Linked DNA regions of Callithrix jacchus. The protein of the gene in region 4 purifies or fractionates together with the protein of the main gene of each other region. This does not show direct contact. Links are inferred from orthologs where the notes say so. Each region holds a gene or a part of one and is shown on either strand. Other genes may lie near its edges. The genes, in order: RASSF3, OSBPL10, VPS13C, VAPA, RMDN3, ZFPL1 and AKAP11.

Region 1 (3,500 bases), on a different chromosome or scaffold from region 4:
AGACTCAGTCTCAAATACAAACAAACCAAAACAGCATATTTAGAAAGAAAAGATTTATTATAGTGTTTTATTAAAACGAATTGTCAAGTGTTATATATAAATAGCAGTTAAAGTAGAACATTTAAAATCACTTTTATGGTGGGTTATTTTTCTTCCTTCCCACAAGATCAATTTGCAATAACAATTCTCTTGTTCATTCTTTTTTTTTTTCTTTTTCTTTTTTTGAGACAGGGTCTCACTCTGTCGCCCAGGCTGGAGTGCAGTGGCATGAAATAGCTCACTGCAGCCTCAACTTCCTGAGTTCAAGTGATCCTCTTGCCTCAGCCTCGAGTAGCTGGGGCTACAGGTGCCCGCCACCACGTCTGGTTAATTTTTGTATTTTTAGTACAGACAGGGTTTCGCCACGTTGACCAGGCTGGTCCCATCCTGGTCTCCCAAAGTGCTGGGATTACAGGTGTGAACCACCATGCCCGACCTAAAATTTTTATCTTTAAAATGATATGAATATTTGTATCTGTTTTAATCTTGATGGGGAAAGGAAAAAAAAAACATAGGAAGTGAAATTCTCCTTTGATGAAAAAAAGAAATCTTGCTGCTGGAATGATGAAGAGTTATCTTGGGATTCTCTGCCCCTCTCCCTTCTTTTTGGAGCAGTTCCACCAGGGAGGGGGTCCTTTACAAAAAGTATTTCTATCTGAAAGCTCCTCCCCAAGAATAACCGGATTCAGTAGGGCCTGTTTTAAACTGGTCACCCTGTCCTTTACCAAACTCTGTCAGTTCACAGTGAACAGACTGAGAGAGAGAGGTCCAAGTGCCCTGGAAACTGGCACCAAGGACTGACAAGCACCATGAAGAAAGCCAACCACCCAATGGGTGGGTGAGACCTAGATGCCAGCTCAGTTTAGAGGAACAGGAATACTCTAGCTTTGCTGTCAGCTCCTGTTTCCCTGTCACCAGGCCCTGAGCCTTCTCCCTCCTGTACGCCCACTCTCTGTGTGCTTCAAACAGTGTGGTGCAATGCTGTGGAAGCCTGGGACAACGACATGGAGGAAACTGAGTATTAAGTACTTCGTCTTACACTAACAACTGGCAGAGAAAAATATCCTACTATATACCTGTATATTCCATTCTATGGGCTCAAAATCCTTTCCCTGACATTTCCATATTTATTTTGTACAAGACAAAAACTTCAGAGCTTCTGACACCTGTAATCCCAGCACTTTGGGAGGCCAATGAGGGTGGATCACTTGAGCCAAGGAATTTGAGATGAGCCTGGGCAACATGGCAAAACTCCGTCTCTACAAAATATATAAAAATTAGCTGGGCATTGTGGCAAGTGCCTGTGGTCACAGCTACTTTGGAGGCTAAGGTGGGAGGATCACTTGAGACTGGAGTTTGAGGCTGCAGTGAGCCATGATTGTGCCACTGTACTCCAGCCCAGGTGACAAAGCAAAATCTTGTTTCAAAAAAAAAAAACTTATCTGAGGTCTTGTTAGAATCTGAGTCTCTATTTCTGTATGTCAGGCAATGCTGCTAAAAATCCTTTGGGGAGGGAGGGGTGGGTCACAAAATCTTTTAAAATAAAATTTTAAGTGTTTCACTTTTTTAATGGTAACCCAGCAACTGATTTTTTAGACAAAGTTACTTCAAAGTACAGATTTAAATTGTACTTTGGAAAGCCATGGAAATATTCCATTTTCCTGTTCTGTATACTTGACTATTACACTTCTACAAATGTTATTCAGATATTTAGAAATATAGATTGTAATACCAACAACTTACATTTGTCTTGTGACAGGTGTCAACCTAAACAGTATTATGGGTACTTACCAAGGTCATCTTCAACTTGTCTGTGACTGCTAAGTTGTATTTATGAACTTTCTCTTTGATCTCCTCTTTGCTGAGGTAACTGTGGGTTTCCTTCTCTTTCTCGACATCCTAGAAGAAAAACAAGCCAAGTCACATGTAAGCTATCACAGAAAAAAATGCGGACAGGCCAGGCGAGGTGGCTCATGCCTGTAATACCAGCACTTTGGGAGGCTGAGGCAGGCAGATCACCTGAGACTGAAAGTTCGAGAACAGCCTGACCAACATGGAGAAACCCCGTCTCCACTAAAAACACAAAATTAGCCAGGCAGGTGACGCATGCCTGTAATCCCAGCTACTCGGGAGGCTGAGGCAGGAGAATAGCTTGAACCCGGGGGGCAGAGGCTGCAGTGAGCTGAGATCATGCCATTGCACTCCAGCCTGGGCAACAAGAGTGAAACTCCGTCTCAAAAAAGGGGGTGGGGGGGAATCAGGAGTCTTTTTAAATTCCACACAAGGGCCAGACATGATGGCACATGCCTGCAATCCCAGCACTTTGAGAGGCCAAGCAGGGCAAAGTTTTAGCCCTGGATACTGAGACCAGGCTGGGCAACATGTTGAAACTCTATCTTTACAAAAACACAAAAATTATCTGGGCATGGTGGTGTGCACCTGTAGTCCCAGCTACTCGGGAGCCTGAGGTGGGAGGATTACCTCAGCCCAGAGGTGGAGGCTGTAGTGAGCCATAATTGTGCTGTGCTGTAGTCTGGATGACATAGTATGACCCTGTCTCCAAAAATTAAATAAATAAATAAAAATAAATTACATCCCACACAAGAACGACCTTGTTGTTCTTGCATGTCACCTTGAGGCACACACACACTCTCTCCCTCTCCCCCTCACTGCTTCCCTTTCTCTCTTTCAAACTCTCCAGGCTCATCCACCAATTACAGTTCTCATTCTTTCAGACTACAGTCTCCCTTGGGGATATATTGGAAAAAAAAAAAAAACTAATTTGTCAGCAGCTAGAAGTAACACTTCATTACCAATATTATTCTGCAAAACTGTCATTGCTAAATTTCTCTTCTGCAAAAACATCACTCTAGCGTGCCTGCTAGAGTGGCCATTTCTGTTTTAAACAACATTTAAAGACATATACCACAAGTTTCTCTGTAGCAAACTGTATTAACTCTGTTGTCTTAATAGCTTTACAATATTTATCGGCAAAAAGTACAGCAGTTAATATTAACTGGCACTACTCATGGACTCACACTAATCCCTGACCTGTCAAACTGTACACATCTACCAGAGGGTAGTTCATCTTCCAAACAAATCCCCAGGCCAAGATACAAGTACTCAGACTTCTCCTTCCCACCCCTGCCGCGACCTCCCCACCCTTCCAGTCTCATGCACCTCTCTACCTCCCCATACTCTAGAGGGAGAAATATGACTCAAATCCTCTTCTCGCTGTGAAGAATTTATCAATAATTATCTGTCTAAAGAGTCCCACCAGCATATGACATTATACAGCAGCAGACGTGATCGCAAATGACCACACTGCAGCGTTCTGTCACCCTGATGGAGTACCTAACTTGTACCACATTTACTTCTCCCAACAACCTAATCAAGGAGGCATTATTACGCCAGTTTCAGTAAATTAAACTGCTGGAAAAAAATGTAACTGTTCAGTGAAA
Region 2 (4,103 bases), on a different chromosome or scaffold from region 4:
AACAAACGAAGGCGTTTTCAAAGTTTCTATTTTTACCCTCTTCTCTCTTCCTTTTCAGTAATCCAACTCTCCCTTGATAAGACCCCTCGAGAAGGGAGAATTTTGCAATCACAGAGTCATCATAAATCTTCTCCAAACCACTAATGGACCCTCAGCCATCGTTCAGAGAACCCAATGTGGGAAATAGAAACCCTGACACTGAGATGTTAACAATTATAGACAATGCTTACGGAGTCAGTGGTAGACTTGGAAAACGGTGAGTACACTGTGGTAAGAACAAACATTGGCAGACAGCTATAAATCGCAGTAAACAAACTCAATAAAGATGAGACATCACTTAAGCATGCTCAGAAGTGCACATAATACCACATTTCACCCAGGTAGCCTGCAATCACGTAGCTATTATTGTCATTAAGCGTGCTTCTTCTCAACCTTGCCTCCAATCTAAACACCAAAACGGGTCTAAAATAATGCAAAAGAAAGGTACTCCACTGCCTCCTAAGTTCACTCCAAAGAACAAATCCTTTAATATACATTGCAGGTAAAATAATTGTTCCCCAGCAAGTAAATAATAAAATAACTGAAATCCAGGATAAAAGCTCTGTTGGCCTCATAAGCTACTTGAAAAAAAGACTATTAAACGTGATTGCTCAACACACCAACAAAACACTGTCACTGACAAGACCCCTTGAGTTGCCCTTAATAAGACACAATTAGCAAGAACTGAAATCAGATTTAGTCATCTCCTTCTCCCTCTACCTACGCACTCTACCTATTCTTTTTCATCTTTCACGAATTGAAAGGGGAAAGGGAGAGGCAACAGCGGGCACTAGGACCATTTTGAGAAATAAAAGGATTCAAAAGTTAAGTGCAACTTCCACAAACATAGTAACACATCTCCCATGAAGCCCAGGTGACTCAGAAAGTCCTGTATGTAGAATATCAATACAGAAACAACTGTTTCGGTACTTCAGAAGTCCTCTTCCTTCAAGTTCAGTTTCATGTAAATAACTGCCTGATATGTTTCAGATGGAAGCAAATCTGAACATTTCCCAACAATCTACTGGAAGAAATAACCAAGTAAGATAGTCCATGCAGCAGAGATAAGCAACTTTCCAGGGTATGATTCAAATCTCACGAACATCCTTAAAAGCCCCAAGTCTATTAAAATCTGGGGACCATTAAATAGGCAGAACAAAATATCCCACCAACCACCTCTCCAAAAAGCATTGTTCTCCTCTCATGGGACATTTGTATTTCCCTCTGGCTTGCTTTTGACAAACAATCTGAAAAAAAAACAAACAAACAGTAAACAGCAGTGCCACATCTGTCCCTCTCTTCCTCATGATGGCAGATCTCACACACGCTACCACCATTCCAAGTCTCCTGAGCCCTTTCCTCACCAGCCCCATCCTTCCACGTGTGTATAACTAGGCTTCTCAACTGTGAGGGGGAAGTGAGCAGGAAACTTCAAAAGGGACCTGAAGAGGAAATAATGAAAATAATGTAAATTGCTATTAATATTAAAAGGGAGGAGGGTTGGTTTTTTTTTTTGGTGTTGGAGTCTCACGCTGTCGCCTGGGCTGCTGCAACCTCCACCTCCGGGTTCAAGCGACTCTTCTTCCTCAGCCTCCGGAGTAGCTGAGATTACAGGCACCCGCCACCACACCCCGCTAATTTTTTGTATTCTTAGTAGAGACAGGGTTTCACTATTTTGGCAGGGCTGGTCTCGAACCCCTGACCTCGTGATCCACCCGCCTCGGCCTCCCAAAGCGCTGGGATTACAGGCGTGAGCCACCGCGCCCGGCCTCTTTCTTTATTTAAACAAAACTCCCATTACAGAGATCGGAGGGTGCAAGGCACAAACTGGGGCAGGGGTATGTAAGGTCTCCCAGAATGACAAGTGGCAGTTTTTTTGTTGCTAGTGGAGGTGTTCGGAAGCACCAAACTTTAAAATGAACTGTGTTACGCAGAAATTTGCCGTAATCGGAGCAGGCGTGCTAATGCTTTTTCACCCAGGCACAAAGCACGCCCCTTCTGCCTCCCTTTCCCTGTCATTCTTCAGAGGTGCGGGAGACCGCGGGCAACCAGAGCACCGGGACCAGCACGCTCCTCCTGCCACTCCAGTCTCTGCAGGTGCCAGCACAGAAGAAAACCAGGGCTCTCGCCTCCCTCCCCGCCACTGCGGTTCCGTCCCGGGGTGGGGCCATGGCGCGCCCCATCCTGGGCACCCCACCTGGAGGGGAGCAGGGACGCAGGAAGGGCACCGTGCAGAGGCATTACTAGTTTCGCTGAAGGCACAATCGCGCGCGCGCGCACGCACACACACACACAAACACACACACACACACACAGCGGCGCGCGAGGAGGGGCGCGGGCGGCTGGCGCGTTACCTGTTCTGCCAGCCCTGGAGGAGGTTGGTGTATTTGCTGAGCACGCCCTCGAGCGCCGGCTCCCTCCTGCGGCCGCCTCCCCCGGACGGGCTAGCGGCCACCGAGCCCGGGCTGCTGCGGCTGCCCCCGCTACCAAGCCCGGCTGCCGACGACCGGCTGGAGACCCCCCGGCCCGCCAGAGAGCAGGAGGGCGAGGAGCCCGCCGAGGTGGCACGGCTGCTGCTGCGGCTGCTGCTGTTGCTGCCCCCGCCGCCGTCTGCGCCCTGGGCCGCCCTCTCCATGATCCGTGCGCGCCCGGGACGCGGGTGCCCGCCGCGGTGGCGGCCCCGGCAAGGCGGCGGCGGCTGCTGATACAGCTCCGAGCGCCCGGGCCGCGCGTGGCTGCTCCAAATCCCCGGGAAATGCCTGACTCATACAGGAGGAAGAGGAGGAGGAGGCGAAGGAGAGCTGGGAAGGAAGCCAACGGGGCTGGATGCAGCTGCGACCGCCCCTCCTCCCGCCGCGGCCAGGGCCGGCCCCTCCCTCCGCACTACTTTCCCGGGCAAGTTCGGGGCCGGTGCCCGGCTAGGCGAGCCCTCTTCGGGTTCCTCCTCCTCTTCCTCCTTGTCCCCGCGGCGTCTCAGGCCCTGGGGACACTCTAGGAGGCCGATCTGCTAGGTGGGCACGCCCTAAATCCACGCCAAGTCACCCTCGCATTCCTTCTGCCACGCTCTCTAGGATCCGAAGGGGCGAAAGGGAATCTCAGCGCGTCACTCCCCACCCCCTATCCACCTCGGGACCTGGAGGGAGGGGAGGGGCGGCCCCACCCACCCCCGGATATGGACCCGCCCGGCCTGACTGGCTCACACGCACACTCCCTCTCTCGGTCTTCCGCACACGATCGTGGGCCAGACGCTCCTACACAGTAATCTGGAAATTATCACTGGCGACGCAAAGTCACAGGACAGGGAGGCCCTCCGCGCGTCTGGCGGAGGAAGGGAGTGGCAGGTGATCCTCACAGGTAAGCTCGCCGGGCATTTTCATGCAGCAGGGTTATGATAAATGCTTAACGGACACTGAGCTGGGCTGCGCTGGGCTGGGCTGGGCTGGGCTGGGGTGAGGCGCGCGAACTCTCAGGTTTTTGCGAGTGCCTCCTTAAATTGAGTGCCCTAGGTAACTCACTGGCCTAAGCCTAATCCCCTGCCCTGAATGACACGCATAAACCTGGCAAGTCAAAAATCTACCCATTGTTAGCACGCCGCACATGTACCTGGGAGCAGAAGCTCTGAAACCAGGAAAACTGTGGGGGAGGCAAGGGAAATTAACAGATATTTACAAACATTGAAGGATTCTCTGTGTTGGCTGTAACTTCTGTGCCCCTCTTCCCACCTAAAGATGCTCTTTCCGCCCCACTAATAATTTTTGTTAATATAGATATCCATTGCAATCTGAAATATCAAAAATTACCTAGAAAAAGCTTTGAGGAGCTCAGACTCTCTCACACACAGACAAAACAAAAGGTGGTGGATGATAGGTGATCCCAGTCCAAAGGATCTGTGAACCCATGAAGCAGGTAAATACTTAAACAGTTAAAAAAATTCCTGAATGAAAGAGTCAGCTCCCAAGGGGGCAGTTCCCCCGAGCTTGACCCCTTTCTAGCTTCACATCCTTCCAGGAATATTTCACGGGTGGTTTAGCTCTAGAGATTTTCACGGAGAAGCTTCTGGAGCT
Region 3 (3,500 bases), on a different chromosome or scaffold from region 4:
GATTCAGGCTCAGGAAACCAGTTAGCTGCTAACATACCATTTGATTATGCTTAAGTCTCCTTGAGCCTAATTCACACCAATGGCATTTGGCAAACAGGTAAGCATGGTTTTAGGGAAGGCAAATAATTCCCAAGTTTCTAGATCAGAAATTTATCTGTTTTAACTTACTATGTGAATAAAACCACACCTTATTTTTAGTAAAAATGTTCTTCTTCTTGAAAGAGAATAAAATAATATCCCTGAAATCAGCTGGATGTTTCACATGAATATCTTCTGAACGATACTGGAGAACCCGGGAGGTCTTGTTGATGAGCCAATAGGGACTAAAGACAGACAGGACCATCCGGCTGCCACTGCGCCGGACATGTACTGACAGATCGACCGTCGTCACTTCTGTGGAGTCAGAAGAAAAACACACAGGAAAGAATTCTGGAAGTGTATCACGTATTCGGAAATGTCCATTCCAGTTTTTGCCCTGGTATTTCACCAGGACTAATTCCATTATTTCACCACTGATTCTCGAATGCAGGACATCAGCAGTACTGCCTTCTGCCAGCTCATGAGTTTCTGCTGTTCCCTGAAACCAAACAGAAACTTTATTAGTGATTTTTTAAAAACCTTTGAAATAAAATCCATATTTTTCATAAATGCTAAATAACCTACCAGTTGCAAGTTAACTGCCAAGTCTTCTGTGCAGTACCTTGCTTATATATTACAAATGTCCAGTACTCGCTAAGGAATAAAAAGCAAACACTGTACCATAGCCACAGGCAGAAAGTGACTTTGGCCATTAGGAGGCTAATCGCCATGATTTTGTGAAAAAATCAGGTCTATAACAAGAGTCAAAGACTGGATTCAGGAAGCTTGGCTGTTGTCCATTAGAGCTATGGCTTTAAATGAGCCACTTCAGTGCCTGGCCTTCGGTTTTATCCTCTATCCATGCATCATGCCTAACGGTTGCCACATGAATGGAATAAGAAAAGTGGTATCAAACTATTCTGACGAGTAATCTAAGGTGGAATTATTTGAAAAATGAATAACAACATAGAAACCAGGTTTCCTTACTGAAAACTCCTCTTATGTAAATACTATTTAAGTCATTTAATTAATTTTTGTCTCCACAACTCAGGAATGGCTCATTACCACATTAAAAAAAATAGGTTCCAAATACTTTCCAGATTTTAGTATTTTAAAATATACTGGCATACAAAAATTTTAAAATATTTATCATACTCCATTACTAGAAAATCCTTATTACTTCTTTAGACAGACAGTAAATTATTTTTATTTTCCAAGGTTTAGTTTCAATAGGACCTTGAAGAAATAATTATAATATTTATTTTAAAATAAAAAATGTAAGAGGAAATATTTTCTCATTTTTTCCTATCTTTTGGTTAATGGAATTTTACTAAATTAACAAAGAGATGATCATGGCTCTTAACTGAAGGAAGACGCCACAAAGAGCAGGGATCAAAAAGCCAAACTGCCTAGGTTCAAATCGCATCTCTACCACTGCCCAGCTATGGGCCCTTGAGCCGGTCACTTAACCTGTTTTCAACTCAGCTTCCTGATACATAAAGTGAGCCTAATAAGTACCTACATCAGGATTCTTATAAAGAGTAAATAGGCTGATACATGCAAAGTACACAGAGCAGTTCCTGGCACACAGTAAATGTTATGCCAGTTTTTGCTATCATTAATATTATGAAGGCATTACAAATTACATATATGCTATATAAAGCAGTGACCTCAATTAAAAATACCATAAAACAATCAAAATTTACTCTGTGCCGCAATAAAAATCAAACTAAATGCAAAAGACGTACCTCAAGTAAGTATCTTAGAGAATATGGGAGAAGATTTCGCAAAGTGAGAGAAGGATAAAGATGAATAAGGTAAGCTAAATCCCAGTCTTCCCCATGTGTACATATGTAGCTTAATTCATCAGGCAGAGCCACTGTATTCACGATGAGAGGTAAGAAGCTGACTTCTACTGATGGACACTGCAACATGCATCTGACTTCCCTGCTCCTATGAAGTTCTTCCTTCCAGGAAATGTAAGTGGTGGATTCCTTGTACTGATGCTCTAAGACTCCAGCTGGCTGGATAAACAAGTGACATCTGCAGAAAGAGGAAACTGTGAGAATAAAGTTTTGATCCAGAACTTAAGACAAAGAATCTTATTAAATCTTCCTGACAACTCTAGAAGATCGGTGCTATTATTCCTGTTTTTACAGATGTACAGATGAGGAAACCAGGGCTGAAAAAAAGGTTACAAATTTCACCCAAAATCACATACCCAACTTGTGAAGGAACTTTCTAGGGAGGGGGAAAAAAAAAACTCTGTAAACAAAGACAACTTAAAAACATTTTTTCATTTCAAATACAAAGGCAATCTAATAAAAATACTCAGAAAAATTCTGACATCAAATATATTATAAGGAATTTTCATCTGATAAATTCAATGATAATATAATGTAAATGTATTTCGTAATGTAAGAATAAATTATGTCTTAAAATTGGCTTTTACCAATCTTTACATAATAAAAATATGAAGTTATTTTCCAGAATATAAATCCCCAATTCACACAATTAAAAATATGTATTATGAATTTTTAATGCTCAGTACATTTAAAGAAGTATCTACCTATATGAATCTAAAGGAACATGGAACTCCTCTTCAGGTCTGGCTATCCCAATACGCTCCAATAGCTTAACATTCTTAACAAATTTATAGATGATAAATGGAATGGAGAAATGGTTTTTGATCTGTTGGACAAAAAGACATACAAATTTTTTAAAAGATACACAAGTTCAAAAGAAAAATGAGAGCCATACACAATTACTTTTAGATCTAAAAAACTTCAAACTCAATACTAGAAAATATTTTTACTGCCAACTGAAAAATTTCAGAATATTTAGGTGTTATATATATTACACTTAATGTTTAGTGGCAGTTGAAAATTTAGGTATTCAAATGCTCCATGTATTATCAGCTTATGTTTACTATTAGTCTATATTATCTTTCAAATATGTATTATTCTTTGAAGATTTAAGCCATTTTTTCTCTGTGACAATCTTTTCTCAATGTATCATGTATAATAACTAAACAGAAATGAATAGCAAAAAAAAAAAAAAGAGAGAGAGAGAAAGAAAAATAGTGCAACTCTCTTTCCTTGACTAAAGTCTGTTATGCACCGGAGCAAATAACAAACTAAGACATAACAATGACCAAAATTTGAAACCTTTGTATTTTTATTTATCTGATGTTAGAGATAAAAAAAAAAAGTTCTTTTGCTGACCACATACTGAAACCTGTAGTCACACAGAGAAAAAGAAAAATGTTGGAAAAGCCTTAAAAGTAGAAATATTTACAGAGATTAAGATGCTAAAATGTTTTTAGAGGAGGAGATCATTCCAATATCCCTTCATACATACTTGAAAAATATAATCCAAGTGGCATACAAAGAGAATGGAATGTTGCCTAACTACAATTACAA
Region 4 (2,594 bases):
AAGAAAATTCCATAGGCTTGCTCAGTATTACCAAACTTCCATAATGAACCTTACTTTGAGTGCCAAACTGGGTGGGAAAAAACACCTTTTAATTATTATTATGAAATGTTACAAATAAGACTTATTAGACTGGTTAAAACGTATTTTAAAACCAAGGAGAGTTAAATCTTGAGAACATACTCTCAGAACTTGTTATGAATGGGGCAAATCAGATGGAGCACAGCCATGCTGAACACATCAACTCACTGAAATCACGTAACTTCTATTCTCATGGACCTTATTTTCTATTATCTTGAAAACAAATTAACTGTAATCTCCCAAAATACTAGTAGTACCTTGAAATTTAATCAACTCCTTTCCTTAACAGAATTAGGGCTTTCAATTAAAAATACTGTAATATCTGAGAGGGTTTCAATGCAAGAGAAACCTTTGCATCATAATTTCAAGTGACCGTATATAGTGGACTCCCCTCTAATAACACGACAGACACAAACAAGCTATGAAGCAAGAATCTGTTAACAGTTTTATTATTTTTTTATGTTAAATACCATGGGACAGGATTGTAAGGATGAAAAACTCAGTCAACAACTGCCTCACAAGGGATAAGAAAAATTCTGCCATGATATTAGCAAAGGTAAAGGAGGAAAAAATTTACACTGTAAGAGGCACCATTTCCCCACGGAATACCTCTTGGCATTTCCTGAATGAGTGGGATTAGCAATCTAAATAAATCATATTTCAAGAGGTAACAGCAACAGATAAAATTTAAAGGGATTATTAAAATAACATTTACAAGACTCTGAACAATTCTTGAACTCTTATTAAAACCACAAAGAAAGAACAATTCTTTATTTATGAATTTCATAAAGGACTGAATGTGCAACTGACATCTGCTAGTGATGATCTGGTAATATACAATTTGTCCAGTAGCCGAACAGTTTGTTTTTATTGTGTTTTCTAACCGTAAGAGATCATTAAAGGCAAAGCCTATATGACGCTGTACACACAAAAAAATGGTCACCGCGGGCCATACTACCAATGAAATGGTAGGTAAACAAATCTTTTTCTGGTCAAGAGAAAAAAAAAAGAAATAGCACTCTGCATGCTTCACTCTACAAGATGAATTTCCCTAGAAAGAATCCAATGAAAATGGCTGCAATTACAACAAGAAGTGATGGAAGAGGACTGGTGACATTATCTCTGAAGGATGCAGTTGAGGTTGATCCAGGTTTATCCGAATGTGCTACCTTTCTGAGCCTTAAACCTTCATCCTAGAAAAAAACACACATACACAAGAGGTTTTTAAAAACAAGCGTACTAACAAGACTACTGAAGCTAAAAATCTACAGGGATGGAAAGTAGATTAGTGGTTGCCCATGGCGGGGGACGGAAACAGGAATTAACTGCTAACCACAAAAGGAAAGTTTCTGGGACTGATGGACACATTCTAAAACTGAACTATAGTGATGGCTGCAAAATTCTATACATCAGTGAATTGTATATTCACAATGGGTGTCTCTATGGGATGTAAATTATACCTCAATAACACTTGATGTTTTTAAACTGGAGCTGAGAAATGTATTCCTAAAATACAAAAGTCAGATATAGTTATATTTACATTTTTTTTAATCCCACTAAAAACACAATTAAAGAAGAGTTCTGTACACTTACTTCCAAGGTGGCCCACGGTATTTAAAATCAGTTGCATCTGTCCCAGCCCAGTGAAAACTACCAAACCTGTAGTTTGCCAGTTGTGTTTACTGGCCTACTGCAACTGAGGAACCGGAACAGCAGAAGCACAAAACAGAGATACGGGGATCCCAGAATTTGGGGGAAGAAAACAGCTTAGTATGAAATTTAAGTAACAGTGTTTTCATATGCTCAAAGCAAAGCAAACGGCTGTGTGTAAAGCAGTAGCACCAGGTCTGGATTGCAAAGCAGGCAAAGAATACTATTTCTTCAGAAACCATAAATTTAGATGAGAAATGTATATAGGAGCCCCCTTATCTGAAGCTCTGCACCTGGACTGGAAACTGAGGGTGCTTCTCTGTGTCAAAATGACCTAGAGCCTCCAGGTAAGAATGGGTTGCTTCTTTCTTACTGCTATGGCTTCACATAGCACCGTCTTTAGAGGACAAGGTTTCTGAGAAGAAAGCAGAAGTCACTTAAGGCAGGAAGTTGTTATGACACTGTGTGCAGTATGAAACTTGGGGAAAATACTAATACCTGTTAACTATGCAGCTGGCTTTATCTGTGTCTCTTATCCAATCTGATGAATGGCAGGACTGATTTTTACTTTTTTCAGTGCAAGGCAAAATGTTCTCCCAGGATTCCTTCATTGTGCTTATAAATAAACACTAACTAAAAGAGTTTTATTTGCATTACTGAATTTTCTGGAGTTGGGTTTTTTGGGTCCTGTGTAAAAACAGCAGTAACTCTCAGTTTCAGCTACCCTTCAGTAACATCTGCAGAACTTTTAATACTCCTGTGATTCTGATTCACTAGGTCTGAGGAGGGCCTGGTAAACTGAATTTTTTTAAAGCTCACTGGGTGATTCACATGCAGTATGAATTACAAACCACAGGGTTTTTCAT
Region 5 (4,072 bases), on a different chromosome or scaffold from region 4:
ACAGCAAAACTAAAATGGAGCTCCCTCAAATTCTGATCTCTCACTTCACAAAGAATAGCAGGGAAAACCTGGAGCTTCTCCCAGAACTTAGTAACTGCCCCCCACTAAGAGAAAGGGGCCAGTTGCTAAAAGAAAAGGTATACCAGAAAAAGCCCATTCAAACCATCTCATAAAGACACCATTACTAAGCCCCATGGACCCAACCCTAAATCTCACTCTGAGTAAATTCCAGCAGTGAAATGCTACCAAAGTGAGAGCCACCTATGGTAACTGGACTGGAAAACACAAAAACAAGAAAGAAACCAGAGAGGCAGGATCCACATACATCAAGCAAAATCCCTTCTTAAAGGAAATCTGGTAAACTAGGCCAGGCCACAACACACAGCCAATAATGTTCAAGAATGCAGAGCAAGAAAGAATCCTGTGAATGTGGCCACTCTCTTCTCATCTCGGAAGACTATAGCTGGGCAATTGCAAACAAACGACAAGGAAACGGAAGGAAGCACACTTGCAATACTAGATTATCACCAGGTTAGAAAATGCTGCTAATCAATTGCAATCTAAGGTGATAGCTCGTTGAGACTCTTCCAAACTACCTTTTCCAAACAAGCTAACATTGGTAATCAGAGAAAACACTCATTTCCAATTAGCATGGGGGTGAGATAATCTAAACACTCCCCCGGCCAGGCCCGGTGGCCCACACTTGTAATCCCAGCACTTTGGGAGGCCAAGGCCAGTGCATCACTTCAGGTCAGGAGTTTGAGACCAGCCTCGCCAATATGGCGAAATCCATCTTTACTAAAAATACAAAAATCAGCTGGGCATGGTGATGCATGCCTGTGATCCCAGCTACTTGGGAGGCTGAGGCAGGAGAATCGCTTGAACCTGGGAGGTGGAGGTTGTAGTGAGCCAAGATCATGCCACTGCACTCCAGCCTGGGCAACAGAGCGAGAGACTGTCTCAAAAAACAGAAAAAGAAAAAAGAAACACTCCTCTCAAACAAAGACGGTAGTAGTGTGAACCAGCCCTAGATACTTTGCTCAAACAAGGAAAGTTCTGCAAATCTGAAAGAACTACTCATTTCAGCTCTGCAGGCTGCCAGCCACACTCAGCTTCAACTTCATGACGCGTGCTCCTAGCCCTATGCCGTACAAAGTCCACTGGACCAGGTGACCAAGCCCAACCTTTCCACTTAATCTGTGACCGCCTCAGGAAAGTTACACAATCTTTTTGAATCTCGGTTTCCTCATAGGACAGATAAAAAAAAAAAAAACTTGAATGAGATAGTTTCCAAGTTGCCTTCAAATTCTAATATACGATTTAATACATAAGCCTCAAGACTTTTAATTCCTACAAGACTCTTTTTGCCCTCTTTTGGACTCTTCCTCTACTTACTACACACCTCACACAACACTAATCAAGTGCCTTTAATATCCGCATAGCACTATTGTGGCCAGAACTAAAAGTGAAAGCTAAGCAGACTTTTTGAAATATATTTTCTTGGTAATAGAGGGGAAAAAGTACAGAAAACGACGACTGCCTTTTCTTTTTTGAGACTGAGTCCCACTCTATCGCCCAGGCCGGAGTGCAGTGGTGCAATCTGCAGGCTCAATTATCACCAGGTTAGAAAATGCTGACAATCAACTGCAATCTAAGGTGATTGCTCGTTGAGACTTCCAAACTACCGTTTCCAAACAAGAGTCCCACTCTATCGCCCAGGCCGGAGTGCAGTGGTGCAATCTGCTCATCGCAACCTCCGCCTACCGGGTTCGAGCAATTCTCGTGCCTAAGCCTCGCCAGTAGCTAGGATGACAGGCCATGCCACCACGCCCGCTCATTTTCGTATTTTTAGTAAAGACAGGATTTCACCATGTTGAAATCTGGTTGAATGTTAGCCAGGCTGGTCTCGAACTCCTGACCTCAGGTGATCCGCCCGCCTCGACCTCCCAAAGTGATGGGATTACAGCGGTGAGCCACCGCGCCCAGCCTGACGACTGATTTTTCAACAAGCTTCCAGAACAGTGAAACCCTAAGGCACCTCCCTCCGTTGCCCAGTCCCACGGCCTCCACCAAAAGCAGCCCGGACCCCAGGCCCATTAGTCTGCAGTGACTGCGGTCTCGGGATGGGCTCCTACCCTGGCGTCCGGGCTCTAAAGTGTGCGTATAGTCCAGGGAGTTGGGCAGGCTCTGGTTGCGGCCACGGCGCCGGGTCCGTTTCCATCGCTTGCTGTAAAGGACGCACAGGAATCCAAGGCCGGCGGCGGTACCCAGCAACAGTCCCAGCCCGGCACGGACACCGCCCAGGGCCCCCAGTCTAGACATGCTGTACCTGCGGCCCGCAGAAGCCACCGGGAGCAGGCAGGCAGGCAGGCGCCCAGGTGGGCGGGCAGGGGTAGGAAGAGAGAGATTCGTGAGCCTGGCAAAGCCTCCCCCAGGCCGAACCCCAGCAGACATCCCCTTGCCCAAACCCTGAGCTCCCGACTCCCTGCACCCCAGTGTGAACCCTAAAGCTTCCTCCAGCCCCCAGGGCCCCACTGCCGCTCCCCTCACCCAACCTGGACGTAACAGCCGCTTCAGCATACCCCTCGACCCGGCTCAGAGTCCGGCTCCTGGGCCTTCGACCCCCACCTCGGCCTCACGACACTGCAGACCACAAACCCGCCGCCCTAGCTGCAAACTCCTGGTATTCCCCCGCAGCCCCCGAAGGAGCTCTGGCCTGGCAAGAGATCAATTCAGACCCTTACCCGGCAGCCAGCAACCATGGCAGCAGCCGCCGCGGACTCACGCTATCCGTGACTGTGACGTCAGGCAGACGGCGCCAGCATCTAGACGCGCCGCGGGAAGGCGCAGGGAGATGACAATAACGACCCCGCCTCCTTTCCCCTAGGGGCGGGGCGATGAGTGACGCCAGAGGGGCGGAGTCAGCACAGAGCGCGAAAGGGAAGAGGAAAGGGGCAGAAGGCTTGGGAAAAGCGGGAAAGCAGGAGACTTCTTGGTTGGACGCTCACGCAGTCACCATCGGTGTCCGGCAGCCAGAGCTGCAGTTCCCTCCGGTCACACCGGCTTACTTGCTGCTCCCGGAATACGCTCAGCATATTCACACTTTCTACCTGTGCTTCTGCCTGGACCTCCCCTTCTGGAAAACGTCACCCTCTCCCCACATTTTATTTTTATTTTGTAGAGACTGGGTCCTGGTATCCCGGTCTCAAGCGATCCGCCCGCCTTGGCCTCTCAAAGTGCTTGAGCCACCGCACCCGGCCATAAATCTTAAACATAACGTGCCATCTAATAATTCCATTTTACTCTTGTATGCGACTTCTTAGAATGTTGGCAACTAAAAACGCCGATTTTATGAACTGTGATAACAATTTTATTGTGAACATTTCTTCAGTTTAGTGAAAGAAGAAATATCTAGGCCAGTCCTCCCAATACACTTGACTAGATCTTATGTTTATTTACCCTTTAATTGTGAGACACTGTATACATACAAGAATGCAGGAGGCCTGCGGTTGTGGCATGTGATTAGTCCCAGATACTCTAGGGGCTGGGGTGGGAGGATCACTTGAGCCCAGGGGGTAGAGGCTGCAGTGAACCATGAACACCCTCGGCTCTGGGCAACAGAGTGAGACCCCTGTCTCTCTCTCATTTATTTATTTATTTTTTTTGGGACGGAGTCTTGCTTTGTCACCCGGGCTGGAGTGCAGTGTGGCGCAATCTCAGCTCACTGCAACCTCCGCCGGGTCCCGGGTTCAAACGATTCTCCTGCCTTAGCCTCCAAAGTAGCTGGGACTACAGGCGCCCGCCATTATGTCCAGCTAATTTTTTAAATTTATTTTTATTTTTAGTAGAGATGAGGTTTCACCATGTTGGCCAGGCTGGTCTCGAACTCCTGACCTCGTGATTCGCCCATCTCGGCCTCCCAAAGTGCCAGGATTACAGGCGTTAGCCACTGCACCTGGTGAGACCCTGTCTCTTAATTAATTAAAAAAAAATACATTTAAAGTATACATACATTGTTAAGAAGCACTGTAAAATACTGAGGTACCCACGTCACAGTTTAAGGAATAAAACT
Region 6 (4,040 bases), on a different chromosome or scaffold from region 4:
ACTTAGGGCTCCTAGCCTAGCATCAGCCCCCAGACCACTGTAGGGACATATGAACACATATATGTATACCAGAGTCTTCTCCTCCCCCTTCCCCCCCCTCCCCTAAAGGTCCGTTTCATCAGTGTTCCCTAAAACGTCAGTCTTCTTGGCTACCACCATCTAAGTTCAGGCAGCTGCTACCAATCTGTCCAGTTCACAGGGGTGAGGTTGGGTGGCAAGAAAATGTCACCTCCCGTTGAAGTGAGTCCTCTCTGGGCCTGCACTCATCATACTCTTTGGGCTAATGGCTAATAATGAACAGTTTCCAAAAAGTTCCTCGATATACACACAGGAACATATATATACGTTCATATCCATGTGCACAAATGTACATGTGCTTATAAGCACATACTCAAACATAAGTGGCATTCCCTGTTATCTAGACTATGGGCACCATAGCCCTCACACATACACATCTATATACTCACAGGTTTGCTCACACTCAGGCACCCTCAACCATGCATTCTCTTGCACTCCCACAACATACCTGTATTCATATGTTCACATATGTACATTTACCCATTCACTCACCCCCAAGTACTAATCAACACACTAACACTCATTTGAACACACCATGTTCACTAAATGCCTGCAAGCACACACTTGCAACACACAAGGAGAAACACATAAAGAGCTGTCTCTTGCATGTGCTCCTTCAAAAATGAGCTGTCAGGCGCAGTGGCTCCTGACTATAATCCCAGCACTTTGGGAGGCTGAGGCGGGTGGATCACCTGAGGTTGGGAATTCGAGACCAACCTGACCAACAAGGAGAAACCCTGTCTCTACTAAAAACACAATATTAGCTGGGCTTGGTGACGTATGCCTATAATCCCAGCTACTCAGGAGGCCGAGGAAAGAGAATCGCTTGAACCTGGGAGGCAGAGGTTGTGGTGAGCCCAGATGATGCCACTGCACTCCAGCCTGGACATCAAGAGTGAAACTGTCTCAGAAAAAACCCAAAAAATGAAAACAAAAACTGGAGCTAAGGCTCTTACTCCAGATTCAGGTCAAAGTCATGACACATATGTCTGCTGACTTCTTTTAGCTAACTTTAATGTGGGAAACTCACTTCCTCTCTGTTTAGCCCTGGAATCAGTGTTGGATCCTAAATATCCGAAACCTTGAGAGCTACATGCTGGTCTGGCTAGCTAATAGTCACAGCCACCACCATACCCACAAGCTTGACTGGCTCTCGCTCAACCCTCCAGATTGGCAGTGTTTTAATTTTTAGGAAAGAGGAACTAGGAGCTTTACTATTTTTTTTTTTTTTTTTGAGACAGAGTTTTGCTCTTGATACCCAGGCTGGAGTGCAATGGCAATCTTGGCTCACCACAACCTCCGCCTCCTGGGTTCAGGCAATTCTCCTGCCTCAGCCTCCTGAGTAGCTGGGATTACAGGCACGCGCCACCGTGCCCAGCTACTTTTTGTATTTTTAGTAGAGACGGGGTTTCACCGTGTTGACCAGGATGGTCTCGATATCTTGACCTCGGGATCCACCCACCTCGGCCTCCCAAAGTGTTGGGATTACAGGCATGAGCCACCGCGCCCGGCCTGGAGCTTTACTTTTTAGGAAAGACAGTGAGGCCTAGAAAGGAAGAACAACTTGCCTGAACTTACAGAGCAGGTAAGGAACTTTAACAGAACTAGAATCTGGGCTCTGAGACTTGGGGGAATCACTGTCCTGCTGCTTGAGACGGGCCTGGAAACCAGTCACCAAGCTGGCCCCTGAGGCTGGCCTGATCCCCCCAAGATGCCAGGGCCTCACCATAGCAGACAAGGCGGGTCGTCTCCCGGCTGGCCAGGGGCATGTTGCACAGGCGGCAATTGGGGTTGTAGTCGCTATCCTGGAGCCACTGCAGGTAGGACTGGACGATGCACTGGAGTGGGAGAGAGATGTCACAACTGGTGCTGGTGCTGCTCGGCCTATCACCCCAAGGTCCAACAGCCTCTTTTTCTCTAGTCACAGAGGAGACTCATCCTTTCATTTGTTCAATCAATAAACATTTATTGAGCACATACTGTGTGCCAGACTCTCTCTTGGGGCCAGGGGATATATCAGAGAACAAAATAAACCAAGTCCTTGCCCTCGTGGGGCTTACATTCTAGCGCGGGGCCCCTCATGGATTTGGAGGAAGCCAATACCGCCTGCCCACCCAGTGCCCTGCTCAACCGCTCCCCCTGAAGGCCCCACCTTGGCGTGATTGGCTACCAGGCAGTGTTCGCAGACGTTGACCCGATGTTCGAAGCAGAATAGGTTGGTCACCTTTCTCTTGGGGCACTTACAAAGCCCCATGATCGATCCTGGGAAAGGGAGTTGGTAGGAAGCCAGGTTCTGGTGGCCGCCACTACGCTCTTACCAGCCCAGTTTCCACTTAACTCCCCAACACCTCTCATATTCGCCCCGACCCCAGATTCCTGCTCACTGCCCTTCCTTAGGCGGGAAAACATTCCCAGCATAAGTCCCGCCTCCGGCGACCCCTCAATCCTTCTGGTTTCCGCCCCCGGCCAGGTCCCTCCATCAGCGACTCCCCAATACCACCGGCCCCGCCCCCAAGGCCCCTCCTGAGCCCCACCCCCTCCAAGCCCCGCCCCTTCTCTACAGACCCCAGTCTCTGTGTTTACTGATCGGCCTCTGCACCAGTTCCGAAGGGCGCTAGCGATGATTCGAGGAGCGGTAGGGCAGGGACCACGCTCCCCGAGGCTCCTGCTCCGCTCCCTTCAGCCTCGGCCGTCTCGATTACCCCTCCGCTGCCACGTCTCTTCCGGGTGCGGCGCGCGCTGATGACGCCATCGCACCACTGGGCCACGCCTCTATGACGCTAGACGTGAAGACGGGTGGAAAAGACTGGGGCATGATCCAGGCGCTGCGGACCTCTCGCTTACGTCACTTCCGCTTCCTTCCCCGCAGGGCGGGTAATTCGAAAGTTTCTTGCAGCGAGTGGCCTTCCCGGTTGGCGCGCGCCCGGGGTGGCGGCTCTGGAGGAGCTCGATACGGAGCCTAGTTATGCCTGGGAGGCGAACGCGGTCCGGAGGGGCCGCTCAGCGCTCCGGTGAGCGGAGGGCGCGCGGGAGACATGAGGTCGAGCAGTTTGGGGGACGCGGTCTTGTGAAAGATGGCCCTTCCCTCCGGCTGCTACCGCCGCCGGACGAGGCGCCCTTAAAAGAGCTTGTTTGGGAATCTCGCTTTCTCTAGACTCTGTTCTCTGGACTCTAAGACCTAGAGTCCTCTCGTAACTTTTCTCTCTTTCCAGGGCCAAGGGCCCCATCTCCTGTTAAGTCTGTGCGGAGGTCCCAACGGAAATCAGGTTCTGATCTCCCAAGCATCCCCCCTGAAATCTGGCCGAAGGTGAGCCGCAGGTTTCTCACTTCCTCCCCTTGTCGCCCGTCACCTAATGTAGAGCTCATCTTCATCCTTCTTCTCCAGACACCCAGTGCGGCAGCAATCAGAAAGCCCATCGTCTTGAAGAAGATCGTGGCCCATGCTGTAGAGGTAAAAGCTAAGATAGGATGTTGTGGGTTGGTAGGTGGGCAAAACCAGCTATGTGATCAATTGGTATTGTCACCCGCAGGTCCCAGCTGTTCACTCGCCTCGCAGGAGCCCTAGGGTGAGTTCACTTTAATCTACTTAGTTACGTAAAATCAGGGCCACTCTAGAGCTGGACAGTACACATTGGCTGCTCACATCTGCCCAGGGAGCTGTTTTGCAATACTGCAGTAAGTTTGCCTTTGGGCACCTGCATGCATTGCCAGTCTTCATTACTCCCTGAAGACTTAATACACCTAACTTTTTATGCCTTGTGTACTTCTACCATTTTTCCAGAACTTCTTTTAAAAGCTGAGCTGTGTCTTAACTGCAAGTACTATCTTTCTAATCCATTTTGTCGTCAGTTTTCATTTATGGGTGGTCTAAGGTAAGTCATGTGTATGATATTTTTACAGCTTTAGCAGAAGTTATTATCAAAGGATGTTTCATTTATAGAAAATCTGGGCCAGGTGCAGGG
Region 7 (3,500 bases), on a different chromosome or scaffold from region 4:
TAATAAGCATTGTGTGTGTTCCTATGGGAAAAAAAATGAACTATTCTCTGTATTTAATTGATTCATAATTGCACCAAAGTAATTAATATGTCTCTTTCTTTGATAATCCAGTTTCATTCGCATGAGAAGCTGTCATAATCAAAAGCTGATAAAAGTTTAAACAAGATGCTTACTATGTGCCAAGCACCTTATTAGTCAAGATTTTCAGTATGCAGTCTTAAGGTTTTTGTCACACAATTTTCTTTATCACAGCTTTCCTTTTGGTGTGGTGGAAATATTCCAGTTGATTGTGGTAATGGTTGCATTCAACTTGGAGAACATACTAAAAGCCATTGACTGAGACGCTTTGGGTGAATTATATATTGGGTGGATTTTATCTCAAAGCTGTTTTGTAAAAAAGTTAAGCATATGTATGTTACACAAAATTAAAGTAGTTTTTCAGAATTTAACTTAGAGATCTTTCAGAACCTAAGAACTTTTATAGAACTTAGTAGAAAAAGAAATGAGCAAAAGCATGTCATGAGTGGTAACAACAAGAGTTATTTAAACCTGTATTTCTTTGTTTATTTTTGTTGTTGTTGTTGAAACATGAGCATTCCCTAACTTAGAAAGCCGTGTTTGCGTTGAGGCTAGAGTGTCTGTTCCAGAAAAATACCACACTCTATGTTGTGTATGTTGTGGAAGGAAAATCCACATCCCTTTATTAAGCTTGCTGTTGCCTTTGTTATTTTATGTTCTAATTGAGGGTGTGGCAGTTGTATTTAGTTAGGTGAAGAATTTCCTGTAGAAACAGCCTCTGCACACCCGCACAGGCTATCCGCTGGGTGAGGTTTGTGGAGCTCTGTCTCCAGCGATCCCAAAGTGTCATTCTCTGGGAGAGATGTATTTATAAAGGCGAAGAAGGGAAAATGTTTAGTTTGGGTAAAGGGGTGGCAGTTTAGAGGAGAAGACCTTGTTATAACTAGGAAACAGTATTTAATCGGAAACAGCAGGATTCTTAGTTTCAGCTAATATTGAAAATAAAAAGAAAAGCTTTGTTATAAAATGGTTTTTGGTTCATGTTTGACACATCTTTCTTTCTCAGCTTTCAAAACGGTTACAAGAGAAAGGATGGAAAGTGGGAGACCTCCTGCAGGCTGTGCTTCAGTACTACGAAGTGATGGAAAACGCTTCCAGTGAGGAGAGATGCAAGTCACTGTTTGACTGGGTCCTGGAAAATGCATAGAACAGACCCCAGACCAGCATATTTTAGTATTTGTTTGGGGAGGAGAACAAGCCAGTGCAGATGATTAGGATAAAATTTGAGTAGTGAGTATTAACAGTGTAAGTCAATTGGGAGGAAAGTAAATAGAGCTTTCTAAGCGCTTTGTGTTATCACCTGGTGTATATAGTTCATACTTTTGTAATCTCTGTCAAAATAACTATCTTCATTCTCCTATATACATGTGTAGTGTGTCAGAACCCTAAGAACATGTAATTGAAGGGAGGTCTAACCCTGGGGTGTTCAGGGGCGTTGTCTGACCACATTCTTTTTGTATCCAAGTGCTGCTAGAAGCTGCACTGAAGTGCTGAGGATAGGTTCCAGCCATGGAGTTCTAAGTTTGCTCCTTTGCAGACAAATGGTATCTAATTAATAACTAGTCTGACATCAGAAAATAAGATTGAGGCTAATTTTTTTTAAATTTCTAGTAGATTTTTGGTCTTTCTTTCCTGCTTTTAAAAATCAGTTTCATTTTCATAGTTCAGCTGTTGGTGGCTTTATTTCCCCTATTTAATTTCTTAGTAGAAACATTAGTGTTTTAGGTTTCTATAAACACTGTAAGTGATAGTTTCCCCATCCTTTCATATTTGCCAACGCTGCCAGTCATTCTGGCATGAAAGTGATTTTGTGTTGGGTTGCGTGCGTGCGTGCGTGTGTGTGTGGAGTACTTGAACCTTGCTAGTTTGTTCCCTCTTTTATTTTACTATTTTCTTTTTAGAAACCCACTGTTAAAATTTAAAAAGGTGCTTTAAAATACAATGTCTAGAAGGATTGTGCAGTAAGAATGTTTATTCCTGTTTTTGAACAGTCTTGGTGAAAATGTAAATTGTAAAACATGTTGGAATTTTAAAAATTAATGTTAATATGGAAACGCATTTACAGAAGCCCAATAGTTTTTATTGTTGGATTTTTTTTTTAAAAACTGTCTACCGATAGTGTGGCTTTTTTCTAGAAAAATCGGGATTTTTGCCCCCTGATAAAATGTGTCTACAGTATCTTGTCAGGCTCTCTGACATGACCTTTCTGGGCTCTACAGTTCCTACTAGTTTGTCTCCAGACACTGCAAGATGACATGAATAGAGGACCAAGATTGTGTCTTGCTTTTGTCTCTCTCTCCCCTTCTCCTCACTCTCCCCACCCATTCTCTCTTCCCTGCCCCTTTTCTTTCTGCCTCCCTCTGCCCTCTTCCTCCTCCCCCGACTGTGTCTCACCTCCCCCCCATTCTCATTCACCTCCCCCCATGTCCTGTGTACGTGTGGGTGTGTGTAAATGTTGGTTTTCCAGAGCTGGATTTTGTAATCTAGGATAAATCACTTTTTGTGGGGGCTTTGATTTTACTGCGTTACATTTTCATTTTTTCTGAGCACTGACTGTTCTGAAAGCTGCATAAAACGTAGAAGACATCGCGCCCGCCAGGGAATAAGGAATAAGGGCACTTACATTAATGTGAATTAGAAATTGTGGTATAGAAATACGTTTTATAAAAGATTCAAATGTGCTTTTTAGGAAAAAGGCCAAAAGCTATTTAAATAGTTTGAGGTTACATTGTAGGTTTTGATTTTTCTCAATTTAAGATGCAGAAATAGAGCAAGCCTTAAATATCAAGTTTCCTAAAGTTTCTTCAAGTATTTTTTAAGGTGGAGAAATGCCAGAATTGTATAACCAGAATTGTTTCTGCCTTTAGCTTTTAAGAACTTGAGATGTGGCAGCACTGGACCGGGTTTTTAAAGGTTAGGACGAGGAATGTTTGCTCTTGGTAATTATGAATTGATTATTATGTTTAGAATGCATTTTTACAAGTACCTAACTATCAAATTGTGTTTAGTAACTTGAGTGCATCAACAGCAAAACAGAGTTCTGAATTTCTTTTAAACTAAAGTGATGATATATTATTTTGTAAAACTTTCTGTGTTTGAAAATGTTTATGTCTATTTCTGTTTATGGTGTAATAATTCTGGGATGAGGCTTTTCTGATTCCCTTTGCATTTTGCTGGAGCTGTGCTGGCTTCAGCATTTCCATATTTAACCATTACTTAATGACGGACCAGGTATTGGGTATTAGCATGTGTGGTAATAATAGCGGAACTTCACATTTACATCAGTTCTGTGCAGGGGCGTAGAGAAAAACATTAAATATCGGTGGCTGTGAAAAGAAGTGCGAGTTAAAAATATAAAATATTGGCAGATGTGAAAAGCGTCATACTTCCTCATATAGAGAAAAGAACTTTGAGTTTAGAGT

What was found.
Region 1: the proteins of VAPA (region 4) and RASSF3 purify together in Homo sapiens (co-immunoprecipitation; 3 studies listed by BioGRID and IntAct, with this or other methods). This does not show direct contact. The link is inferred for Callithrix jacchus from reciprocal best matches to the Homo sapiens genes VAPA and RASSF3.
Region 2: the proteins of VAPA (region 4) and OSBPL10 purify together in Homo sapiens (co-immunoprecipitation; 4 studies listed by BioGRID and IntAct, counting the BioPlex papers as one, with this or other methods). This does not show direct contact. The link is inferred for Callithrix jacchus from reciprocal best matches to the Homo sapiens genes VAPA and OSBPL10.
Region 3: the proteins of VAPA (region 4) and VPS13C purify together in Homo sapiens (co-immunoprecipitation; 3 studies listed by BioGRID and IntAct, counting the BioPlex papers as one, with this or other methods). This does not show direct contact. The link is inferred for Callithrix jacchus from reciprocal best matches to the Homo sapiens genes VAPA and VPS13C.
Region 5: the proteins of VAPA (region 4) and RMDN3 purify together in Homo sapiens (co-immunoprecipitation; 4 studies listed by BioGRID and IntAct, counting the BioPlex papers as one, with this or other methods). This does not show direct contact. The link is inferred for Callithrix jacchus from reciprocal best matches to the Homo sapiens genes VAPA and RMDN3.
Region 6: the proteins of VAPA (region 4) and ZFPL1 purify together in Homo sapiens (co-immunoprecipitation; 3 studies listed by BioGRID and IntAct, counting the BioPlex papers as one, with this or other methods). This does not show direct contact. The link is inferred for Callithrix jacchus from reciprocal best matches to the Homo sapiens genes VAPA and ZFPL1.
Region 7: the proteins of VAPA (region 4) and AKAP11 purify together in Homo sapiens (co-immunoprecipitation; 3 studies listed by BioGRID and IntAct, counting the BioPlex papers as one, with this or other methods). This does not show direct contact. The link is inferred for Callithrix jacchus from reciprocal best matches to the Homo sapiens genes VAPA and AKAP11.

What each region holds. Positions count from the first base shown.
Region 1 is NC_133510.1:54,612,960-54,616,459, forward strand, and holds part of RASSF3 (ras association domain-containing protein 3), read right to left. Parts: intron 1,939-3,500; coding exon 1,831-1,938; intron 1-1,830.
Region 2 is NC_133518.1:70,218,676-70,222,778, forward strand, and holds the start of OSBPL10 (oxysterol-binding protein-related protein 10), read right to left. Parts: upstream 2,801-4,103; 5' UTR 2,675-2,800; coding exon 2,394-2,674; intron 1-2,393. UniProt on the Homo sapiens protein: Probable lipid transporter involved in lipid countertransport between the endoplasmic reticulum and the plasma membrane.
Region 3 is NC_133509.1:8,779,673-8,783,172, forward strand, and holds part of VPS13C (intermembrane lipid transfer protein VPS13C), read right to left. Parts: intron 2,770-3,500; coding exon 2,648-2,769; intron 2,122-2,647; coding exon 1,827-2,121; intron 578-1,826; coding exon 188-577; intron 1-187. UniProt on the Homo sapiens protein: Mediates the transfer of lipids between membranes at organelle contact sites. Necessary for proper mitochondrial function and maintenance of mitochondrial transmembrane potential.
Region 4 is NC_133514.1:52,968,922-52,971,515, forward strand, and holds the end of VAPA (vesicle-associated membrane protein-associated protein A), read right to left. Parts: intron 1,272-2,594; coding exon 1,113-1,271; 3' UTR 501-1,112; downstream 1-500. UniProt on the Homo sapiens protein: Endoplasmic reticulum (ER)-anchored protein that mediates the formation of contact sites between the ER and endosomes via interaction with FFAT motif-containing proteins such as STARD3 or WDR44.
Region 5 is NC_133509.1:45,816,680-45,820,751, reverse strand, and holds the start of RMDN3 (regulator of microtubule dynamics protein 3), read right to left. Parts: upstream 2,801-4,072; 5' UTR 2,745-2,800; intron 2,330-2,744; 5' UTR 2,323-2,329; coding exon 2,136-2,322; intron 1-2,135.
Region 6 is NC_133511.1:122,149,535-122,153,574, reverse strand, and holds the start of ZFPL1 (zinc finger protein-like 1), read right to left. Parts: upstream 2,801-4,040; 5' UTR 2,644-2,800; intron 2,341-2,643; 5' UTR 2,333-2,340; coding exon 2,231-2,332; intron 1,917-2,230; coding exon 1,805-1,916; intron 1-1,804. UniProt on the Homo sapiens protein: Required for cis-Golgi integrity and efficient ER to Golgi transport. Involved in the maintenance of the integrity of the cis-Golgi, possibly via its interaction with GOLGA2/GM130.
Region 7 is NC_133506.1:161,427,939-161,431,438, forward strand, and holds part of AKAP11 (A-kinase anchor protein 11), read left to right. Parts: intron 1-1,084; coding exon 1,085-1,225; 3' UTR 1,226-3,500. UniProt on the Homo sapiens protein: Binds to type II regulatory subunits of protein kinase A and anchors/targets them.